2 linked regions of the Sus scrofa genome follow. The protein of the gene in region 1 purifies or fractionates together with the protein of each later gene. This does not show direct contact. Links are inferred from orthologs where the notes say so. Each region holds a gene or a part of one and is shown on either strand. Other genes may lie near its edges.

What was found. Proteins that work in one complex are often made in the same cells at the same time.
Region 2: the proteins of ATAD5 (region 1) and RFC4 purify together in Homo sapiens (affinity purification with mass spectrometry; 5 studies listed by BioGRID and IntAct, counting the BioPlex papers as one, with this or other methods). This does not show direct contact. The link is inferred for Sus scrofa from reciprocal best matches to the Homo sapiens genes ATAD5 and RFC4.

The regions. Positions count from the first base shown.
Region 1 is NC_010454.4:42,917,632-42,921,882, reverse strand, and holds the start of ATAD5 (ATPase family AAA domain-containing protein 5), read left to right. Parts: upstream 1-1,444; 5' UTR 1,445-1,853; coding exon 1,854-1,901; intron 1,902-4,009; coding exon 4,010-4,251. UniProt on the Homo sapiens protein: Has an important role in DNA replication and in maintaining genome integrity during replication stress.
Region 2 is NC_010455.5:124,601,620-124,605,590, reverse strand, and holds the start of RFC4 (replication factor C subunit 4), read left to right. Parts: upstream 1-1,169; 5' UTR 1,170-1,463; intron 1,464-1,699; exon of another isoform or gene 1,700-1,721; intron 1,722-2,684; exon of another isoform or gene 2,685-2,687; 5' UTR 2,688-2,699; coding exon 2,700-2,830; intron 2,831-3,971. UniProt on the Homo sapiens protein: Subunit of the replication factor C (RFC) complex which acts during elongation of primed DNA templates by DNA polymerases delta and epsilon, and is necessary for ATP-dependent loading of proliferating cell nuclear antigen (PCNA) onto primed DNA.

The DNA of each region.
Region 1 (4,251 bases):
CTAGGGCCAAAGCAGTAAAAGCACCTAATCCCAACCATTAGACCATCAGGAACGCCCCTATATTGCTAACTTTCATGTAAAGGAAGACAAAATGAAAGGCTTTTCTATGGATACATATACGTTCGTAAAAGTATTAATAAAGGCTGCAGTGGTATCCACGGAATAGGTGATATTGGCTACCTTTAGAGTGAAGAGACTGAGTTTTGGGGTGGAAATCAAGGACACTTTCAGATTTTTTTCTGTAATTTTCTAATTGATTTTTCCTCCTTTTCCTCCTCCCTGCTCTTGCTCCTCCTTTTTCTCATTCTCCTCTCCCTCCTCCTTGAGTGGTTGGTGTTCCCATACCCAGTGGGTTATTAAAAAAACAAACCATAACAACAAAAGAGTTTATATTTAGTGCAATCTCCCTAAAAACCACATCCAAGGCAAATAATTTTCAAAGGAAAAGTAACTACCATTTATTTCATCGGAAAAATTTGTACCCTTCATGTTGTCCAGACATAAACCATACACACAGACAATAATGTGAACAGTTAAAATCAGTTTGCATAACCCGACCTAACAAGGTGGCTTCCCGTTAATATTTGATAGGTACATTTACCTGTTTTGTTTCAGCCCTTACATATCCTGCAGATAAAACTATGGACTCAAAGAAAATAAACATACTCTTGTATATTGCAAGTTTAATGTAAAAAAGCAAAGTAAGGCAAATTCATGAAAACAATGAAAATGACGTATGAGATTATCATCACTACAAACTAGCAAACTACAGGTACCCTGCGACAGCTGGAACACACGCCAGCCAGCTGAGGCCATGAACTTGGGCTCCTGGCTTCTTGCTAGGACGAAATCCATGGGAAAAAATGCCTCCTGAGCTCAATTAGGGGTAAAGGTCAATTCTCGGACCCCTAGTAGGTAGCGAGGTAGGTCGCTTGCCAAAGTAACATTTTAAGTCGTGTGGAAGGAGTGTAATCAACAGCTATTCCCTTTCCTGTATTTTTCGAATTTACACTTAAATGGGACTAGTCTAGGTCGTCAAAAGTCTAGGGTTTTAATTCTGCCACCAACGGACTTTAGTCAAATCACATTCTCATCCGTGAAACTGGGGTGAGGAGTTTGAATCTCCAAAATCTCCGTTACTTTTACTTGTTTTTCAGCCGAACAGGTGGAATATGGACGTTTCGGGGCCAGGGATGGAATCCCAGCCGCAGCTGAGACGTACCCCACATACTCTGTATTTTGCAGCTACGGCCAGGCGAGATCCTTAGCCTATTGCGCCCGACAGGGGGATCGAACCGCTACTCATCAGCGACCAGAGCGGTTGCGGAAAACAACGATCCCAGCTACGTTTAGAGCCAAATGAATAATCCCGCCTCCGGCAGTTTCGCCTAAGAACCATTTTGGCCTTCTCGGCTCACCGTCCGCGCAGCCTCCGGAAGCGATCTAAGCTCCGCCCCCTGCGCTCCGGACGGCGCGAAAACCCAATTGACAAGAATTCCCTGGGAAGCCCGCGGGTTGGGTCTACGTTTGGCCTGGTTTTCCCTCCGAGGTCCTGGGCCCGACGTCGGAATTGGAGTGTCCTCGTTGGAGGTACCCCCCACCGACCGCGCTACAGGGTCCTCTTCGCGCTTTCTCACCACCTCTTCCCGCGTTCGAGTCAGCTGAGCTCTCGGCCCAGCCTTTGCGACCACCCGGGCGGTGGACGCGGGGGGTTCCAGGCAGACCCCGCGGCCCAGCTTCTTGCTCCCGTTGGAGCAGGCTGCCTCCATGGCCTCCAGACAGGTCGGACCGGGCTGCGTAAGGTCCTAGGAGCTGGGATTCCGGGAAGCAGGGAGCATGGTGGGGTCCTGGCCATGGCGGCTGCAGCTGCCACCCCTCCGGTGAGGGATTACGAGATTGAGGTGAGCTTGAGTATCTCTATTTGTTGGAGGTGGGTGAAAGAGGGTTCTGATCTAGGATCTATGAGGGGAAAGAAGGGACCTGGTGAGGCCCCTTTGTTGTGTCTTTGGGTGGAACAGTCGCTGGAGTGTGTCCTAAAGCCGCGGTAGGTACCCATAAACATTAGGATTGAGGATGTTGAGGGGCCTAGTTAAGGACCAGTTTATAGATCCTGAAATGTTCCTGAAACTTGATAATTTGGACTAGTGAAATGTCATGGAGTCTTCCAGGGTCAAGTCTGGATAAGGAATCACAGAACTTTAGCGTGGAAAAGAATCTTTTTGTCCACCCACCTGTGCTAGGAATAGCACTTGGTGTGTCACTACAGGAATCAAACAAGGTACATAATTTAAAAATCACTTTCTCATTGCTCTAGAACTTAAGATACTGCAGGAAGAAGTCTCAGCTTGGTATGCTGTTTATTCTTATGTGTTCTAGTTTCAGTGAAATGCACTAAAGAGATTCTAATGTCATAAAGTAGTGGAGTATCATCAAGTAGACAATTTTGCTATATTTTCACACCTTTTCATCCCAAGCTAGCCTTGTAACTGACATATGCATACTGGTGTCATTGAAGTGAGCCAAGACATAGGTTCACTCACTGAACTGGGACTGTTTCTTACTTTTTAGTATTGAGTACTTTTGGGAGTTCCTGTTGTGGCTCAGTGGTAATGAACCTGTCTAGTGTCCATGGGGTTGCAGGTTCAATTCCTGGCCTTGCTCAGTGGGTTAAGGATCTGGCATGGCTGTGGCTGTGGTGTAGGCTGGCAGCTGCAGCTCCAGTTTGACCTCTGGCCCGGGAACTTTCATTTGCTGTAGGTGCGGCCCTAAAAAGCAAAAATAAATAAATAGAATTGAGTACTTTTTGCCTTCTTGTTAATATTTGTTATGCAGATGCTTGTTTGCTGGATCAAGGCAGTTGCTGGGTTTGTCTTGGGTGTGAAGAATTTTTGATAACTTGAATTACGCAATTCTTGCTTTTTGTTTGGTCAGTTTCTGAATCTTTTTGTTACAATTTCTTCTTTTGGTGCCCTGCTTAGAGTACTATTTCAGGGCACCAAATATTGTTTAGTATTGTGACAGTAAAGGCCTTATACACATTATTTTACCTAATAGCAATCCTGTGTTGAGGTGTTATTATCTGTATTCTAAAGATGAGAGAAAGTTAAGAATTAAAAGTTGAATTAAGGTAGAAAAATAAATTAGAAAATTAAAAGTAATTTGCTTAGGGTCCCATGCTGGTAGCTTTCAGAGCCAGCACTCAAACTTAGATCTGCTTGACTCCAGAGCCTCTGGTACCATCTCAGGATAATAATAATACTAACAACTCATTAGCATTTCTTCTAATACATTTACCATTTCATTTTAAGATGTAAAGTTTTAATCTGTCTCTCTTTTGCCTCATGTTTATCCAAATGGTTAGAAATTTGCCCCAATGCTATGTATTAACTTCTTTGCCCACTAACTTGAGTGTAACTATTGTTACATTTATATATACCAAAGTCTTAAATATACATGTATCCTTTTCTAGTTTTTGTGTCCATTCTGTTAAGTTGCCTGCCTATTCATGTCACACATTCTTTCTTTTTCTTTTTTTTTTTTTTTTTTTGGTCTTTTTAGGACTACCCACGGGATATGGGGGTTCCCAGGCTAGGGACTGAATCAGAGCTGTAGTCACTGGCCTACACCACAGCCACAGCAATGCCAGATCTGAGCCATATCTGTGATCTACACCACAGCTCACAGCAACACTGGATCCTTAACCCACTGAGCAAGGCCAGGAATTGAACCTGCATCCTCATGGATACTAGTCGGGTTCATTGTCACTGAGCCACAATGGGAACTCCTAAAGCTCTTTTTCCCCCTAGTATATCATGTATATCAACTAAGGGAAGCTTCCTTTTTTTGTCCCATTACATAAAATAATAGATCCATGTTTAACATTTATGTTTTGAACTCCATATGCCACGGGGTGCCTAAAAAAGAAAAAAATACAATAGAATAAAATAAAATTTATGTTTTGTAGTATTTTGCTTGAAATAAGTGCTTTTTCCTTCTTTTAAATTGATAGGCATGCAAGAAGCGAAGGAAAGATGATGACAGAACTTCTTGTAAAACAATTACAAAATATTTATCACCAGTCAGGAAAACTGGAGACAGGGTTTTCTCTCCACCAAAATCCAGTAACATTCTGGATTATTTTAGAAAGACTTCACCCACAAATGAGAAGACCCAGACAGCAAAAAAGTACAAGATAAAGTCATCCACACCATTGCCTGCTGACCGTGGCAAAGCCTGTAAAACACCTTTGGA
Region 2 (3,971 bases), on another chromosome or scaffold:
TTAGGCATCATGCTTTCTTCTTCGTTGTGTGGGATGTGAGATAATTTGTACTTATTCAGTGGGGATCAGAGGGTATGTTCCAGTTTGCCACAAGTCACTGGATCTCTAAAAACTTCACTGATGTGGTAACTCCCTGAATCTTCATCTAGCCTTTATTTCTGTCCTCTGGAATGCATGTGCCTTATCTACTCTTCCAGTGTATTTGACACTTCTTATTTTATCATTTAATATAGTAAACACCGTGATCTTCTGCAGAATGTCCAGATGGCCCAGGTCCTTGAGACTATGTTATGGCCAAGGGTAGATTCAACATAGCTTGAGGGCAACACTGTGAGTGTATTGTGTGTCCTGTCCTATGGTAATGTGAACTGTTTCTGTCCTCCAATAAGGACGGAAAAGAACACATTATCAGATTGATAGCCATATACTATATATCTAAAGTCCTTTTTAGGGAGTTCCCATCCTGGCTCAGCGGGAACGAATCTGGCTAGGATCCATGAGGACGCAGGTTTGATCCCTGGCCTGGCTCAGTGGGTTAAGGATCCGGCATTGCCCTGAACTGTGGTGTAGATTGGAGACGCGGCTCGGTTCTGACGTTGCTGTGGCTGTGGCATAGGCCAGCGACTACAGTTCCAATTCAGCCCCTAGCCTGGGAACCTTCATATGCCATGAGTGCGGCCCTAAAAAGACAAAACAAAATATATAAAGCCATTTTAATCTGATCTAGTAAAGACACTGTATCTGGTTCAGTTGTAATTGGGAGGCTACTGCTTGGTTGAGTTTACAGTAACCCACTGCTATCCTCCATTGTATATCTAGTTTCTATAGGGGCCACAGCGATGAACAGAAAAGGCATGTGATAAAGACCACTATCCCTGCCTACGTCAGTGTTTAAGGGGAGGTGGCACTACTATTTGCCAGACCACTTCATAGGGCATTGTTTGTGGTTTACCATCCTGGCTGGGGCGGGGAAGGTGGTTTCACAGGCTTCTACTCGGCTTTCTCTACTATAAAAACCCAGTCCGAGGGCTGCGCGGGGACAGGATGAAGCACCGTCATTCCTGTACAGCCTGTGCAACCTTGAAAGTCTGCCTCTGACCTGCTTAACTACCAGGAACCGGAGGAAACGGCTCCCTTAAAGCGGGGCGCGCGCGGCGGGCCGGAAGTGACGCGTGACGCGCGGCGTGTTCCCGCCCTTCCCTTCGCTGGCTGTTCCTGGCGGGAACTCGGGCGGCTTGCTGACGCCGGCGATTCTAACTGCCCTGAGTCTGGCGGCCCTCGGCTTCTTGGGCCTGACATTCTCGGCTTGGGGAACGCAGCTAAGACTCCGTGACCGCCTAGGCCCTCTCTCTGTCCGGGAAACCCCAGGAACGAGCCGGCGGCGTCCACGCTCCGAAGACGAGAGTCTGAAAGGCCCAGGCAGTGCCTGGGAGGGAACACGCGAGGGGAGCCGGGGAGAACAGGTGACCAGCCGAAGGAATTGCGAGGGTTGCCTTCGCCTTCCTCTACTTCGCCCTCGGCGCCCCTGTGCTGTTATTCCACCGCCCGACGAAAGTGCTCACAGTGGCTGGACCAGCGCTCCAGCCTCGCCACTTTCTACCCTTTGCGCCCTGTTTGGTGTAACGGTGGCTCAATCCAGCATCACTCAGAGCCCTGCTTTGGGCGTTATTATTGTTCGGCAGCCTGTGGCGGGGATGGAGTAATTCAAGAATGTTAGAAACGTTAGTTGTTTACAGACATTACCAGTTTGTTTATTGATGTGTGTCAAGCACAGAACTGGGTGTGCACAATTCTTTGAATTGACTCAGTTACCTTGTGGAATGAGCCTTAATTTCTTTTTACAGAGGGGGAAACTGAGTCTCATAAATGGTAATTCAGTCACCAGTCTTACGGAGCACCTACTATTTACCAGTCACTGCTCTAGGCGCTGAGGGTACAGCGGTGGGAAAAAAAAAGGAATTGCCGCTAATGCTGGGTATTTTGAGATGAGCTGTCCTAAAAACAGCCTTGTGTTGCTGGGAGGAATGTTTACCTGAATGTTAATACTGCTTATCTTCTGGGTGAGATTTTGTGTGAATTTTTAAAACTCCCCACGCTTTTCTGCACTGTTTAGATTTCTCCAGATGAGCCTGTTATCAGAAAAACAGCTGTTGCCACTTTAACATCGGCATGTCCTCCCCCACCCCCCAAAAAAGCTTCTAAAGGCAGTTACATGGGCTCTGCCAGTAAAATAGGCCCTTCAGTAAGAGCTCTAGACCCCAAAGAAATGGAGTTTCCAACTTGGGGTCCCAATGCTCCTCCTAATTGCTGAGTCCACTCCCGAGCCTGAGCTAGAGCTAGGCACATGACTGAATTGGAAGGGTCTGGAGAAACCCATGTGCAGTTTGTCCGTTGAAGCCATTCCAAGAAGTTTGGAACTCTTAATTTTTTTTTTGTCATAAGATTTATCTTTATTCTATAGCTTGCTCACTATAAATAAATTTTAAATTCCTTCAGCACTTTGGCCTCCATTATGTCCCTCTAGCCCTCAGTACAGTGCATTCAGAGGATGCTAGGTCATTGGGTGATGTCCTTTATTTAGCAAGTATTTATTGAATATCTTTGTACAAAGTTTAGTGTGCTTTCAAGTTGTACTTCTTCATAATGGTTTCAAGATAACTTTCCTATTCTGTCTCGCACCTGGTCAGGGTGAAGTAACCATGCAGGCGTTTCTAAAAGGCACATCTATCAGCACTAAACCACCATTGACCAAGGATCGAGGAGTAGCTGCCACTGCCAGAAGTAGTGGAGAGAACAAGAAAGCCAAACCTGTCCCATGGGTGGAAAAATAGTAAGAACATTTGTGTTTTTATTAAAATAGTTCATAAATTACTTCTCTGACCATTTTTCTTTCTTCTCTTTTTAGGGGCACACCTGAAGCATATGGAGGTTCCCAGGCTAGGGGTCAATTTGGAGCTCCAGCCACTGGCCTACACCACAGCCACAGCAATGCCAAATCCGAGCTGTGTCTGTGACCTACACCACAGCTCACGGCAACGCCGGATCCTTAACCCACTGAGCAAGGCCAGGGATCGAACCCATATCCTCATGGATGTTAACCTGCTGAGCTACAATGAGAACTCCTAAATGATATTTTAACAAGTGGTTGAAACCTCTGGTGTATCCTCAGTTATTATCAAAGGATTGCAGGATTACTTATAAGCCGAATAATGCCTTCATAAGTGTTATTTGGCACCAACACTACTTTTAAAAATGGGAAATTTCACATAAAAATCTAGAATCTTAAATAAATTATACAAGAGAAAAGATCTAGACTTTCAGCCTCTCAGGAGATGCAGCACTAGATGCAGGTTCTCACCTGACAGCACTTAGATGAACATGAGTACTGCTTCTCATTTTGGTAAAGTCATACATTCCTTACTTCATAGTCCTTTCTAGTGCCTCTTGCCTTACATTCTGCTCTTCACTCTTGTCTTCTGCCTGGCCCCTGCAGGTATTTGAATATGAAACCTAGTGTATAATATACAGTAGATAACATAATCTGAAATAAAATTCCTGCCTGGCATTGGCCTGATTAATTAGAAAAGTATAAATCAAAGAATAGCTTTTGAGGAGTTCCTGTCATTGCGCAGCAGAAACGAATCCGACTAGGAACCCTGAGGTTTCAGGTTTGATTCCTGGCCTCGCTCAATGGGTTAAGGATCTAGCATTGCCATGAGCTGTGGTATAGGTCGCAGACGTGGCTCAGATCCCATGTGGCTGTGGTGTAGGCCAGCAGCTACAGCTCTGATTAAACCCCTAGTCTGGGAACCTCCATGTGCTGTGGGTGTGGCCCTTAAAAAAGAAAAAAAAAGACCAGCTTTTGATTAGTGAACTAAGCACAGAGCCTAATCTAAGGGTTGGGAGTGTTATTTAGTTTAGCATTAGTTAATGGTGTAAGACAAATGTTGTTATACTTTGTATTGCTTAAA